Linked DNA regions of Lepisosteus oculatus. The protein of the gene in region 1 purifies or fractionates together with the protein of each later gene. This does not show direct contact. Links are inferred from orthologs where the notes say so. Each region holds a gene or a part of one and is shown in the gene's direction. Other genes may lie near its edges.

Evidence for each region. Proteins that work in one complex are often made in the same cells at the same time.
Region 2: the proteins of prkcz (region 1) and nipsnap2 purify together in Homo sapiens (affinity purification with mass spectrometry; 3 studies listed by BioGRID and IntAct, counting the BioPlex papers as one, with this or other methods). This does not show direct contact. The link is inferred for Lepisosteus oculatus from reciprocal best matches to the Homo sapiens genes PRKCZ and NIPSNAP2.

Annotation. Positions count from the first base shown.
Region 1 is NC_090720.1:3,965,378-3,972,332, forward strand, and holds the start of prkcz (protein kinase C zeta type), read left to right. Parts: upstream 1-3,936; 5' UTR 3,937-5,060; coding exon 5,061-5,131; intron 5,132-6,955. Other genes in the region: uncharacterized protein, read left to right, coding at 101-256, 815-905, 1,927-2,083. UniProt on the Homo sapiens protein: Calcium- and diacylglycerol-independent serine/threonine-protein kinase that functions in phosphatidylinositol 3-kinase (PI3K) pathway and mitogen-activated protein (MAP) kinase cascade, and is involved in NF-kappa-B activation, mitogenic signaling, cell proliferation, cell polarity, inflammatory response and maintenance of long-term potentiation (LTP).
Region 2 is NC_090721.1:5,712,974-5,719,860, forward strand, and holds the start of nipsnap2 (protein NipSnap homolog 2), read left to right. Parts: upstream 1-3,885; 5' UTR 3,886-3,913; coding exon 3,914-4,023; intron 4,024-5,198; coding exon 5,199-5,338; intron 5,339-5,555; coding exon 5,556-5,601; intron 5,602-6,391; coding exon 6,392-6,486; intron 6,487-6,887. UniProt on the Homo sapiens protein: Protein involved in mitophagy by facilitating recruitment of the autophagy machinery required for clearance of damaged mitochondria.

The DNA of each region.
Region 1 (6,955 bases):
AATAGAGGGATCTTCTCAGTTACCCCCCCCGGATGATCCAAGTGTAATTCAGAATTATTGACACGATGCTAGAGTGTTGAAACACTTATCTTGTGCTCAGAGCTGGGTCTTTTTGTGAAGTCCCCCTGCACCAAAGTGAAAAACACTGTCTGCCACTGCTTGAAAGACTTCTACTGTGTGGACGGCAGCAGTGAAGAATGCCACCTGTGTCCTAAACACTCCGTCTGTCAGCCAGGACAGTGGGTTAAGCAGAATGGTAAGTCAGAAACCTGGTTCCTTTCTGCTTCTATTTATGTGTTTTTTGTAACCAGTCTGTTTTAATTTGGTTTGATACACGGATGATCTTTCAGAACACAAGCCAAGTGTCAACTAAGAATCGGTTATTGATTTATATCATGTACTGTTTAAGCTAATCATAAGATGGCTTGGTGACAGAGTGGCTAGCATGGCTGCCTCACATGGCTGGGCCCTGTGTTCAGTTCCAGACCAGGGGTGCCGTGTCTGTCCGCCCTGTGTTTGTGGGTTTCTGCTGGGAGCTCTGGTTTCCTGCCACAGTCCAAAGACATAATAAGTTAAAGGGAGTCTGGGAAAACTGGCCTTGGTGTGCATGCAAGAGTGTGTGCGTGTGTGTGCCTGTATTTGTGTCTGTCTGCCCTGTGATAGACAGGCGTCCCGTCTAGAGTGTCTCCTGGCGTGTGCCCATTGGTTGCCAGAATAGACTCCAGCTCCCCTGCATGCAACCCTGAATAAGAATAAATAGACAAGAAATGGATGCACATGTTAATCATAACTTATGTGTTATTAATATGTTCAGGAACAGCTAAATCTGACACCATTTGTGAAGAATGCCCTACTGGCACATTTTCAGCAGAAGAAATGTCATTATCATGCACACCCTGGACTGTGTAAGTGTCTACATCTTTCTTTTGGTGTCTTGTAAAATAATGTCAAAATGAATGCACTAATATTATTTTTTTACTGATACTGCGGTATGTTATGAACATTCAATATCTCATCTTGACATCTTGACACTTTTGAATTGTGAGTGCTTTTATTTCCAAGAACATAATCCATGAGCTTTTGCACAGGGACAGATCATGATGTTCCTGTTTTTTGGCATGAAGGTACAGTTCCAAACCAGGATGGTGCCGGGAAAACTGAGCTGAGTGAAAATTGTAACCCGTGGTATTTCACAACCAGAGACAAATTGGTTGAAATAATATATTCTCCATGTATATGGTTTTTCCCCCAGACCAGGAAGTGCAAAAGGACTGTTTAACCCATTCCAGTCCAGTGCAGCATCTTAGAAAAGATATTCCGTATACAGTAGAAGCAGCTGATTCTAGGACTGACTACATGTTTTCCATACTCCCCAGTCACACTGCCACTACCCACCAGAATTCTGGTACTAGATTGTGGTGAACGCCTTCCTGTCATAACAGGAAGATGGATTGTAACCTGTGATATCCAGGCTATCTAACAAATCTTGATTACCGGGAGTCATTAAGGAACTACATCCTACAGTCATGAACAGAGTCAGAAATAGCTCATGAAGGTGAATGGCCTTTTAGTTTTAGACCAGGGCTCGATATCTATGCTTAGATTAAATCCAGAACTTTTCTCACACTCATATGTTCCAAGTTCTTTCTTCATGGGGGAGTAAAGATCAAGTACCTGTATGAAGTATATGCCTGAAGTCTAGTTTAGTAAAAGCACATGTAGAACCAGAATCAGTATCTGTCTTGGCCTCTTCAACAGCTCTTCTGTGGAAATCAATAGGGATAGACGATGAACAGTTTGCAGATGAGAATAAAATAATACAGTAGCAGGGCTTCGAAAACCAAATGTTATTTTTTTCTTGTGTTGATGTGTTCTCATACTGGTTTATTCTTGTATCATGTGTGTGTATTCTTTTGTCTTTTCAAGGTGTTCAGGTGGTGTCCTGTCTAGAGGAAATTCAACCACTGACGTAAACTGTAATGCATCCGTATCAAGACAGCATACCATACTTGTTGTTTTCATAGTTGTTGTTCTGGTTTTACTTGTATTTTTGATGTACAAACTAAAAACTCAGAAGTCTTAATTATGTGCTTTCAAAGCTATTTAAATATATTGTAAAGAGATTGTGTGACATAAAGTAATGTACCTCAACAGTCAACATCATTCTTGAATAGAATTGTATCCATGAACACAGTCATAAATAGTGCATGAATACCCCTTCAGCTGTATATCTTGGTTTCTTATCTAGGCTTAGATTAAATCCACACTCTATTCATATATTCCATGTTCTTTCTTCATGGAGGGTAGAAAGAAGAACATTCTGTCAAGCAGAAAGCTGAGATTAGTTAATCGATTTGCAATTTGCAGCTTCTCATTTAATGTGGTCCCTACTTTCAATTGGAAATTAAATTGTTTTGATTAAATCCCCATGTTTCAAAACTATGCCAAACTTGAATGGACATTTTTAAATGTAACCAATTTACCTATAACATATAGAATCCACTAATACTAAGTGTTTAATTTTGAAGACATTTCTTACATCGTACTTCTCTTTAGATGGAGGGTTGTATCCAGTGTTGCATTGTCAGAGCACACTAATAATAATTAATGGCATTTATTCACTGAAGTAGGTCCACTACATCCATCACTGAAGTTGGGCACCCTCCTAGGTGATGCCCAATACTACATGTCAGCAGCCCCAATACAGATCAGGCGGAGAAGAGGAATTACTTCGCTAATTAAGAGGGAACTTTAGGGAAACCAGATTATCCAAGAGGTGCAAAAATTGAAAAAGAACTGAAGGTCACGTGAATGTTAAATTTAGAAAAGTATGTAGCATTTTTGTGTATTTTTTGTGAAATAAAATGTTAAAATAAAAAATAATAATAATAATAATTATTATTATTATTAAAAATAAGCACATACTAGATTCTATACTAACACTGGATTCCTTTATATTTTCGTAATTTGCATTACTTTAGAAGAAACATATTGTACTTTCTCTGAATATGTATGTAAGAACTGAGACAGGAAAATAATATGTATGGAGTTTTTTTTGTATTTCTCGGGTTTTTCTATTGTTTGAAATAAAAAATAATTGCACTGTGAACGGCTTTTTATTCCAGACTGTTGGTTTAAGTGTTATATGCAGTTCACACCGCAGGTGGCGCAAACGGCAATTGTAAGAGGACCTCTGCTTTTATGTGGAACTCTTCTCGTAAATTTCAGACACCCTAGAAATCCTCACTTAGAACACCTTGAGGCATTATAATTACAGATCTGGACCTGATTAAGATTTACTGAGATTACATAAAACCTTTTGTACAGCACGACCTTCCTAGAGCAGCTCATTAAAGTACGTTCTCTTGTTGTGCGCAGTCCGCACTTGAACAATGCATTCTTATTTGCATCCAATGTATAAATGCCACCTGTCAAAATAAGACAAAACGACATTTTATTGCTGACTGTAACGTCCTCGCACGGGCAATTTATCGCTGCCCTTTTTAAATTCATTGCATGTATTCAAAACATTTGGATACTATAGATCTTCGTTTTGTATGCATTATGCGCAACGAATGTCCAAACCAAGATATGAATTGGTTTTAAATAAATGCTTAGAGAACTTTCTTCTGTCCTGTTATATTTAGCAGCTATGGAAAAGAAAAATGCATGATATGAGTTGTTCAATATGTTCTGTTTTGCGGGCTTTTGGTTGGACACAGGTAAATCCAACAGTCGTCTGATTGGATAAGGAATTTTCCGTTCACTTTTTAATTCAGGTAAATCCCGAACGGAATTCCAATTGGACGGGGGTAATCCCACGAGTTTTTGGATTGGCTACAGGTGTTGCCTGCTCTTCCCGGATTGGAAAGCAGGTGTGACTCCATCGTTCCGATTGGCTCCGGCTCTGGAATTCTCCGCCATGTTCCCTCAATCCTCCCGGGAGACGCTAGAAGCCGTCTAAACAGAAACTTCTGGAGTTGTTTATGATTGCTGCGAGCTGGGAAGAAAACGATACAAAAATCGAAATAAATACAAGCAATGCACGAGAAAAACAATAACTACCGGGACTAAAAACTCATTTCTGAGAATTTTTAAGCACCGAATTGTTTTTTAACTGGTTTCCTGAAGTTTTTGATTTGGCTATACTTTGCTCAGTAAGATAGCTGTCGTGGGACGGTAAATGTTACAGTTTTACTAACTTCAGATGAATACGTTATCAACAGATTTCTGTATTTTTCCCCCCCGATAGGCAGAACAACATTCTGGTGACGGACGTCTTGGAATAACATGGATTTTTGGAATAAAAAGTTGAAACTTGGAAGTGCACGACTAAATTCCAGTTCAGCCTAATTTAATTTTCCAGTTATACACTTCACATGCTGAACTAATATGTCTATTTTGTCCTCTTTAGCGCAATCATTTAACAAGCCATTGTAGGAGTGTAGTGTAACTGCTGAATTAAAGCTAAATATAATATTGCAACGTACGTCATCTCAGATCATTTATTAACTGCGTAAAATCTATTAATGTTGAGCTGGATGTTAACGCGATGAACATTTGTGTCTAACTCAAGCGGAAAATGTATTTTCCATCCTGTGGGGAATGAATGATTTTATGATTTTATAGAGTCCTCCTTTAAATACAGCAGCTCATTATTATGTGGGTCCGGCAGTTACAGTAGTGTCTGTACCGTACTAGTGTTTCGAGTAATTGCGTTTCAGGAGCAACACAACAGGTGGAATTGAGGAAGGCCAGTCCAGACTTGCCAGTGTCCCTCTGACTACTGTGTCGCGGAATAAGTAACCAAGGCAGGTGACAGGTGACCGAATTCCTAGAAGACGGCAGCATGATACAGAATCGGGGAGAAAATAAATGAGATTTTTAACCTTTTTTTTTTTTTAAAAAAAAGCGCAACCTGTTGAATTCGCCCTGTCGGTTGTAGTCGTTAACACGGAGGGAACCAACAACAGAAGATCCTGTTTCACGTACTGTATTTGCTACCCCACTTCTGTCGGATTACAGTATTGGCTCTTTATATTTAATATTTTTGGAGTACAATGCCTACCAAACAAGGATCCGTGATGAGCATGCACCTGGAATATGTGCAAATTAAGGCACATTACGGCGGGTGAGTGTAATAAGTTTAGGTTTTGTAACCTGATAACTGTTAATTAATTAATGAATTGTCAACAGCCCACGTTAATCGGCTTCCTCTAAATAAACCTCTGTAACGGGACTTTCCACGTTAACTGAGCAGTGTAGTTTTAATCCCGTTGTTGAGGGAATTTTATTTAGATGAACTGATGGTAACCACAGATGAGGTTTGAGTGCTTTGCGATTATTGGCTTTTCGATTTGGACTGCTCTCTCAACCCTTTTCTCAAAGGCTGAAAAGCAAGACAATTCGCCATACTTAGACTAAACATCTTTAACTATTAGATATGCATGTAAACAGTTTCCCCAATTTCCTGACTCCCCTTTGGCTATTGTGAATGACGCTGTCTTCCTCTTCAGGTTGATCAATAACTTTTAAATCTCTTCTCATTCGTTGTTGGCAAGGTTATATGAAAGTTTGAGGTACATTGTCTTACAACATGTTTGCGGATGGTCTTTAGATACTGCCCTGTTAAGTTCTTACTTGGGTATATATAAGTTCTTACTTGCATTATTTATCTGTTGCCCAGTCGGGGGTTTTTTTACGTTTCTGTCTTGTTAGTGTTTGGATGACATTAACCGTGTAGTGGTATGTGTCTTTCAAGGTGCCCACTTGTGCTTTGTGGGAGTTAATTTTTAACTTACTTTCTGTACGCGAAAGAGGCAGATCCCGAAACTCTGAAATCAGGTGTTGCAAGAGTTTGTGTGCGCTCAGTATTACATACAGCTGTCAACGTCACACAGATACTGTTATTTCTGAGTTTCTTAAACTCACGCTTATCCGGGTCATATAAAATATAAGAATATCACGATGGAATTTGGATAATCGTTCCATCTACTTATCAAATCCGTAATGTTTTTGTTTACTAACCTCTTCATTGTATAGGTTTGATGCTACACTATACAACTAATTTAACTTTGGGATAGTTTTTGCACTAACTGCAAATTTCATACTTAGTTCTTCTGTATGCGCTTGGACAGTTGTGTACTTTTCGATTTCTCTAATTTCAATGGAGATTAATTTTAATACTGCTTTCTCTAGTCAGTGTTTATGATTAATCCCCTTTAGTTCTTGGGTTTATTATTGAATCTACCTAGAGTCAAAACAAACTGTGACTGTCTGGGTCTGTGTAGTTCAGAACAGCTCATATATGTAAATACATCAAATGGCTATAGAATTCCTCCGTTGTTTTTTGATGTAGAACTACAATGACTGAGATAAAGTGAATACTTTGTCTCGAGCTTGAGTTAAGTAAATATAGATAAGAGAATATAGTGAGCATCATTTAAGAACACAGTTTGTTTACAAACTTTTTTGGTCCATAGAAAATTCTGCCTTTGGGTTTCTAAAGGCAAATCTTAACACTTGACTATAAAAGTTTTATAGAAAGTTTTAAAAATAATATAAAAGTGACCTTCATTAGAATCAGTGTTTTTATAGAAGGAGAACAATGGAATTGTTCTGACAGAACTTTACCAGACTACAGTCTTGGTAATTTGCTGAGTAGTGCAAAAAATGTTAGTTCTGTTGCTTGTTTAAAGCATTGACCTACTGAGATATAGCGTTAATAAGTCACCAGATTCTAGCATTGGCCTGTTGGATTCTGTTTGGCCTGGAACCTATTGCAGGTGCATGCCAGTTCAGAAAATGACAGCAGAGCAGCTGGCTGAAAAATGACCTGTGTTACACTGTTCCTGAAGCACTCCTTGACTGAAATTGACAGGAGGGGACAGTGTCTTTAAACCAGCTTTCCACACATAATGGAATATTGTGTCTAGTGTGAAAGGCAAGTCATTAC
Region 2 (6,887 bases), on another chromosome or scaffold:
ACACAATTTAACTGCCTGCTTTCGGCTGTATTACTCCTGTTCGAGTAACGACCAGAAAAGATTTTAATCGTTCGACTGGTTCTTTTTTCATTTCTTACTTTTATATTTCTTAAACAAGTTGGTCTTTCTTGCCAAACTTTAAAACAGGAGTTCGTAAACACAGCTGTATTAAAAACGTGTCAACATTAGAAACACAAACTCAAAGCAGCCCAAACTGTACTAATCAAAACAACTATACTGAGACAATCTATTTTGACCATATGCTACAACTTTTTAAGCAAACACAAACTTCAATATCAAAAGGCTTATTATATCTTAGAAAAACTGTCTAGAGGTTCAAATGAGTACATTATTTTCTGTTTATATATACCTTTTCGGTAGATCAACAACACAAGGCCAAGTCCTCGGAAAAAAGTCCAAGCACGTATCCTGTCCGAGCGGAGCAAAAATCGAATGGCTCGCTTGTACTCAACGCCTAGGTCTTACCCTTAAGCGATGAATATTAACGAAATAAGACCAATAACAAAAAAGTTCTCCGAAACTCCCATTTCTGGGAAATAAAAGTAAAAGTTTTAACCAAATCTCTCAGTATTTTTTAAAACTTATTTTTAAATAGAGTAACAACGATTAACTTCACGAGTTTCGATAAAGAGGCTTTGTTTCACTCTACAGGTGAGAGAATGAACAGCAGGCAGCTGTTTTTTTTTTAAAACTGCTTGATTTTTTCAAAGCAATAGAGATATCACTGAGGTTTGACCCTATGCGATAGAGATTTTTTTTTTACCAGGCTAGACTGTATTTCTCACGTTTTTTATTAATCGCTACGTTAAAATCGTATTGTTGCAAACTTTATCCATCATATTTAGTAACACCTGAAGTGTTTTTAAAGTATTAGTATTCTATGTGGATGTGTATGACCTGATTGCATTCCACCGCCATTGCATTTTAAAGTTATGATGTTGCTGTATGAACATGATATAATGTCCCATACCGCGTATTTATGCTATGCGTCTGCATACAAATCTCGGTTTTGTTTTGACATTGTTCAAGTGTCGCCTTTCCCCTTCCGAGGTGCCGTAGTTTCTGTTTATGGCGTCATCATAATGCGCCGCTTTATCACAGAAGGCATGGAGAAAGAGATTTCCGAATTCCTGACCTTCATAGTTTAATCGATTTTCGTATTTTTGCTAATACTCTGTCTTACATTTTAGGGTAAGAAGTTCCGTATCTGGGAGACATTTTGTCAGTGTCTTAAAATAGATCATTGTCTTCTAATTTTGAACATGTGCTTGCTATAATACACTTTGTTTACGCGAGCTAATTTTGCAATAGATTAAAAATGTATATCTTTTGCAAGATATTTTTATTCAGAGTTAAGCATTAGCTTAATCTAAATCACCTGTAGATTTATCAAATTTAGATTATACATTTGCTATATTATAGTGAAATGCTTAAAACGCGCTTACATTCGTTATTCTATTATGTATGTGATACAACAATAGTGCAAAAAGTTGTTTTTTATTATAAAAAAGTGTCAGTGTAGGCGAAGGTATCGTTTTGCTGCTGGTAATTTTCAGTTTTCGTACAATAAAGACCTTTAAGATCCGCGATGGTTTTGACCTTTTGCTGATTTTACTTTTCCGTAAGGTTTTGAAAGCTGTCAGAATGTCTGCAAAACAAGCCTCAGTCCACGCCAGATGGATAATAGGCAAGGTGATCGGAACCAAAATGCAGAAAACCGCAAAAGTTCGAGTGACAAGACTTGTATTGGATCGGTATCTGATGAAGGTAAATATTATATATTTGAATCTGTTTGATTTTGGCGACAACTATCGCAAAAAATCTGATGTCTACAAGATGAAAATGTTCTATCTATATATGCCAGTCTCAGTTTAGCAAATGCACGGATATTGTTTTAAATTTGTAGAAAAAGAATGAATGTCCAAACAAAAAAAACAGATTACAGAGTTGATTAGATGTGGATTTAATGTGAATTAAGTTAAACTAGTGGATATAATTCTAAATAATGATGTACAAATTCTGGTATTGTAAAGAACTTGCATTGACAGTTCATAACAGTTCATAAACTGCTGCTTCAAAATGTCCAATTTTTAACATCAGGTTTATGGTATATCATGTCATTCACAGTTCTACAACAAAAGGAAGACTTATTTTGCACACGACGCTCTGGAACAGTGCACTGTTGGAGACGTGGTTCTTTTGAAGGCACTGCCTGAGAAAAAGTCAAAACACGTTAAGCATGAACTTGCAGAAGTTGTGTATAAGGTTGGGAAGGTTGTAGACCCACTCACTGGGAAGCAGGTTGCTGGAAGCCTGTTTTTGGAGCCCCTCTCAGACTCCACAGAGACTACCGCTGAATCTTTAACCGAGAAGCTCCAGGAACTGAACATCACAGCAGCATCAAGCAAAACTCCAGAGAAATCTTCTGAAGTCTGAAAAAGTCATTTTAAAAATAAACTTTTTTTTTGCAATGTGTCATGATGTCCATATCTGTCTTGATCGATTTTTGTTTTAATTTAGTTTTTTCAGATGTGAAAATGTGTTAGCACATTGAAAAGTAAATCAAGGAACAAGCAGAGTTCATTCCAACAGGAAAAGTAAAGCAGAAAGAAAAAAAATATTTGAACTGCAGTCTTTAGGTTTCAGAAGAACTGTCTCCTCTCACTGTGCATTTGTTTTGTTCTGTAAAGCACTCTGAGTAGCCACTTTTAAAGGTACTATGTAAAATAAAGTTTATTATTTTATTATAGCTGAGGAATAGGGTATGATGAACCCTCATGCCTGAAGAAGATTCCACAGCTAAAACAGTTTTCTTTTGTACTTGATTCCTTTGAAGCTTTCTGATATACTGTTGTGCAACGGCACTGCTTTAATATTTAGAAGTTAAAAAATCAATTGTATAAAATGTACCTCTATGGAATCAAGATTCTTTGATTAGCTATTAAATAAAATTGCATCTTTTTTAATGTGAAAAATTTGAAGCACTGCGATTGTACCCTTGAGCAAGGTATAGTAATTTACACATGCTGACCCACTACAGTATATAGCAAAATTATATAAATCGGTATTCTCCAGATCATCTTTATAAATGAGAATTCTCAGTTGAGTTATCTGGTTAAATGATGCGCTCGGAGCTACAGTAAGCTTTTTGAATTGTAAATATTACAACATCATTTTTTCGAGACTATGCTGTACAGTACACTTACTCTCCTTGGCACTCCCATGTCAAATAAATGAAATGATTTGAATATTAAAACCTTTGAAGAATATGTATGTTGCACATATAAAATATGTTTAGTGAATTCCCTACATATCTGATGGTTTTGGCAAAATAGAAAATCAATTTGGGTTGGAATACAGAATTGTCAACATATAATTGCGATGTTGATGATTTCTGTGTTAACTGCGTTGTTTATATAACATTGTTTTCTCCATTTATGGGAATACTGTATATGATATAGCTAGGTTACTAAGGGAATTCCCTGTATGTTATTAGCACAACATTACCATTGTAAATTACATTTCTAATTTTAATTTAAAAAGCTTTTTGAAACATTAAAGGTATTTCTAGCTTCACTTGAGTCTTGTGATCTATATTTTAACAGTTACACTTCGAACGTTTTATTCTCTCTTCTTAGTCCTAATTGCACGTGTTCAAAACATGATTACCTCGCAATCTTAAGACCATTCCAAAATGTGAGGTTGCACCCTACGGACAGTTACCATCCGTAAGCAAAACAAGTCTTTTCTTGGAGTAGCGTACCCCCAGATTTGCAAGATGAAAGCTCAGGACCTTAGACATCACGTCGATTCTTTGCATAAATTGCCTTCACTGCCCTCCAATGGCTTTCCTGATTCAGATAATCTGTTACGTCGTTATCAGTGGCAGGAAATGCTCAGCCTGAGGAAGATGGCGACTCGAGTCCTTCGGAGTTTGGGGGCCGACCTGAATCAAGCAAGAACTAGGGTCCGAGCCCGAGGACAGCTCGTTTTCGTCTCCAGGTTCGTCTCTTTCCGCGCAGTTTGTAATAAACATCGCGGTGTTTTTTTTCTCTCATACTAAAGGTGCTCTTTCTGCGTGTTTAGGTCCATGCTTTTTTTGTGCAGCCGATGTCGCCGCCCCCTCCAAACTGTAGTGTAGGTTGGGAAAATAATGCGCTTCCAGCCCTGTTTGGGCTGTGTGCAATTTGCGCTGAGATATAAAAAAAACAACAACGTTTAAAACTTTATCTTAAAGCAACACCAGTTATACTTTTGGGCCTCCTGTTTCCTTTCGTTTCCCTTTTTAATATTGACCTCGAAACAGGCCGACTATCTCGCAGGAAGTTTTTGTCGGTGGTGTGCCTGCAGTTTATCCAATTGCAGCTCAAGGTCATTATAAATGTCTTTGTTTACTGAGCATACATGGTTACCGTTGTAAGGAGGGCACTGACTACCATTTTTCTTTGTTTTCACCGTTAATTATGTGATTGACCTTGACACTTTTTTTTTGTCAACGCAGTGTTTTCTGCGTGGTTTATTCAGTGTAGTACTTAGGCTTATGTGATATTTATTTTTAGTTATGCCATTCTTTCTGATTTATCCGGACATATGTGTATTATTTTTAGATTCAGTAACACCGATTATGATATTGGACGTATTCCCATTTTATAATAAAATTGAAACACTATTCCGCCTTACGACCACTGTCGTCATACAGTATGTGTTCATATGCATAGAGTCTCTCCTCAGTACCACAGCAAGGTTAGGCCCGGTCAGTAGCAACACTAATGACCTCCAAAAATGCTTATGAAGGTAGTGGTGGGGGGACTTTTCAGGCTATTTTTCTCCTCATAGACCTTCAGTATCCCTCATCACTATTAAGGGTGGGAAGGAGGCTGGTTATTTCAGATTTCAGTTTCTGGAGCTCTAATCAGATGTGGGCGATGTGCTTACAAGCATCAATCAACAGAGAGCTCATTATTCACTGGAGATCGAAATAGGTGTAAATGAACCTCTAGTTATATATTTTTTTATTTCTCCAACTTTAACGTGGCTTTTCTGGAAGTATTATATATTGCTATGATAGTATTTCTGCTATGGTGCACATGCACACTTTCAGGCGCGAGTGTATTAAAACTTGTGTAAAACCTGTCTCAGTACCAATGACATTCTTGGCTTCTCACTGTTGCCTTCAGAGCCCTGTCAGCGTCTACTAACAGGAATGGGGAGGACAGCTGGTTCAAGTCTCTCTTCGTCCGAAAGGTTGATCCGAGAAAAGACGCCCACTCTAACCTCCTCGCTAAGAAGGAAACCAGTAACCTGTACAAAATTCAGTGTAAGTTCCTTGCTCATCACTGTATTCCTTGCTATTACCAGATGCAACAAACATCATGTTGGCAAGTTATTCTGAAAGGCTTGTTGTTAGTGTAATATATCAAGACCTTTTTTCTTTGTGAAAAGCCACAAGTAGAGAAAAAGTGGTGTTAGCTATTTACTTTTCTTAACTTAAGAGGAACACTCAAATTTTTGAATGTTTTTATTTTTGTTTCCAGTTCACAATGTAAAACCTGAGTGCCTGGATGCCTACAACAAACTTTGGTGAGCTTTCTGCTATCATTCTTGCTAAGCAAAAACAGGAACATCTGTATAGCTGTAGTTAAACTGAGCGTGATGGGATTTTATGTCATAGAGTGTGTTATAGCACCCGATACATTTGGAATGATTTATTTGAAAAAAAAATAAAATGTGTGAATTTTTGAAAAATTTAAAACAAGAACTTTTGATGTTTCCATGAGCCAGTTATGAATTTACAATGTATTTGCAGGTATGAATATGCCTGATTTCATTCATTTATTACAAAGCTTCTTGGTGATTCATAACTGCAGACCAATGAATAATAGATCTTTATCCTGCTGTTTCACGGTGTTGGTAATTGTTCCTGCTTGTACCCACACAGGTAAAAAGCATGAAGTAGGCTAACAAATTTGAAAAACTCTTTAAAAAAGATGATTTGGAAAAATATGTGGATCATATTTAAATAAAGATTGCACACCATTTAACTTTACAGAAAGGAATTAGTGTGCCCTGGCATGTAGAATGCACATGGGAGCTCTTTATGAATATGGAAGCAGATGGTTTTGGCTTATGACTATGTAGGGGACTGTTTCCTAACTGAACAATCCGATGATCATAACACTAGGCAAAAGCACAATCGACAGCAAGGACTGTAAAGCAGCAGCAGCTGCAAGAAATGACAATGCAGTCACTTAAGATGCAGCTGAGGAAGGGGTCTGTCTGAGCAAGAGTGACAAAGGTGAAGGTGAAGCAAAAGCTTTGTGCCCGAGACAATGGCCTTTGAAGTGTTTGACTAATTTAACTCTCCATACAGCGAGGAGGTTTTGCCATCAATCCATGCAGATAAGCACTACCCCTGTGAGCTGGTGGGCACCTGGAATACGTGGTACGGGGAGCAGGATCAGGCTGGTAGGGGACAGCACCGGTACCCAGCATGCAATGTCTTCTGCAGTCTGTTTTACCAGTAAACCTACTTGTACACTTGAATACATAATGCTACACCCCTTAGGCCACAATTTATTAGCTAGTGCTGTCCCATAGTATGACCAGGTCAAAATGTCATGCTTTGATTTTTCCAGGAGATTGTAGAATATCAGGTATAACTACTCCATCATGACACTGCAAATGAGCCCCTGTCTCTCAGCAAACTCGTACTGAGAACTGCTCTTTTGATAGAAAAGACAACAGCAGTTGCTTGTTTTTGTATGTCTGTGCTTGTCTGTATAGAGCAGTGCAGCTCCTGGTATTTGAAGAGGAAATAGTTCTGGGTTCCTTGTGCCTGTTGCTTGCTGGGATAGGCTCCGGCTCCC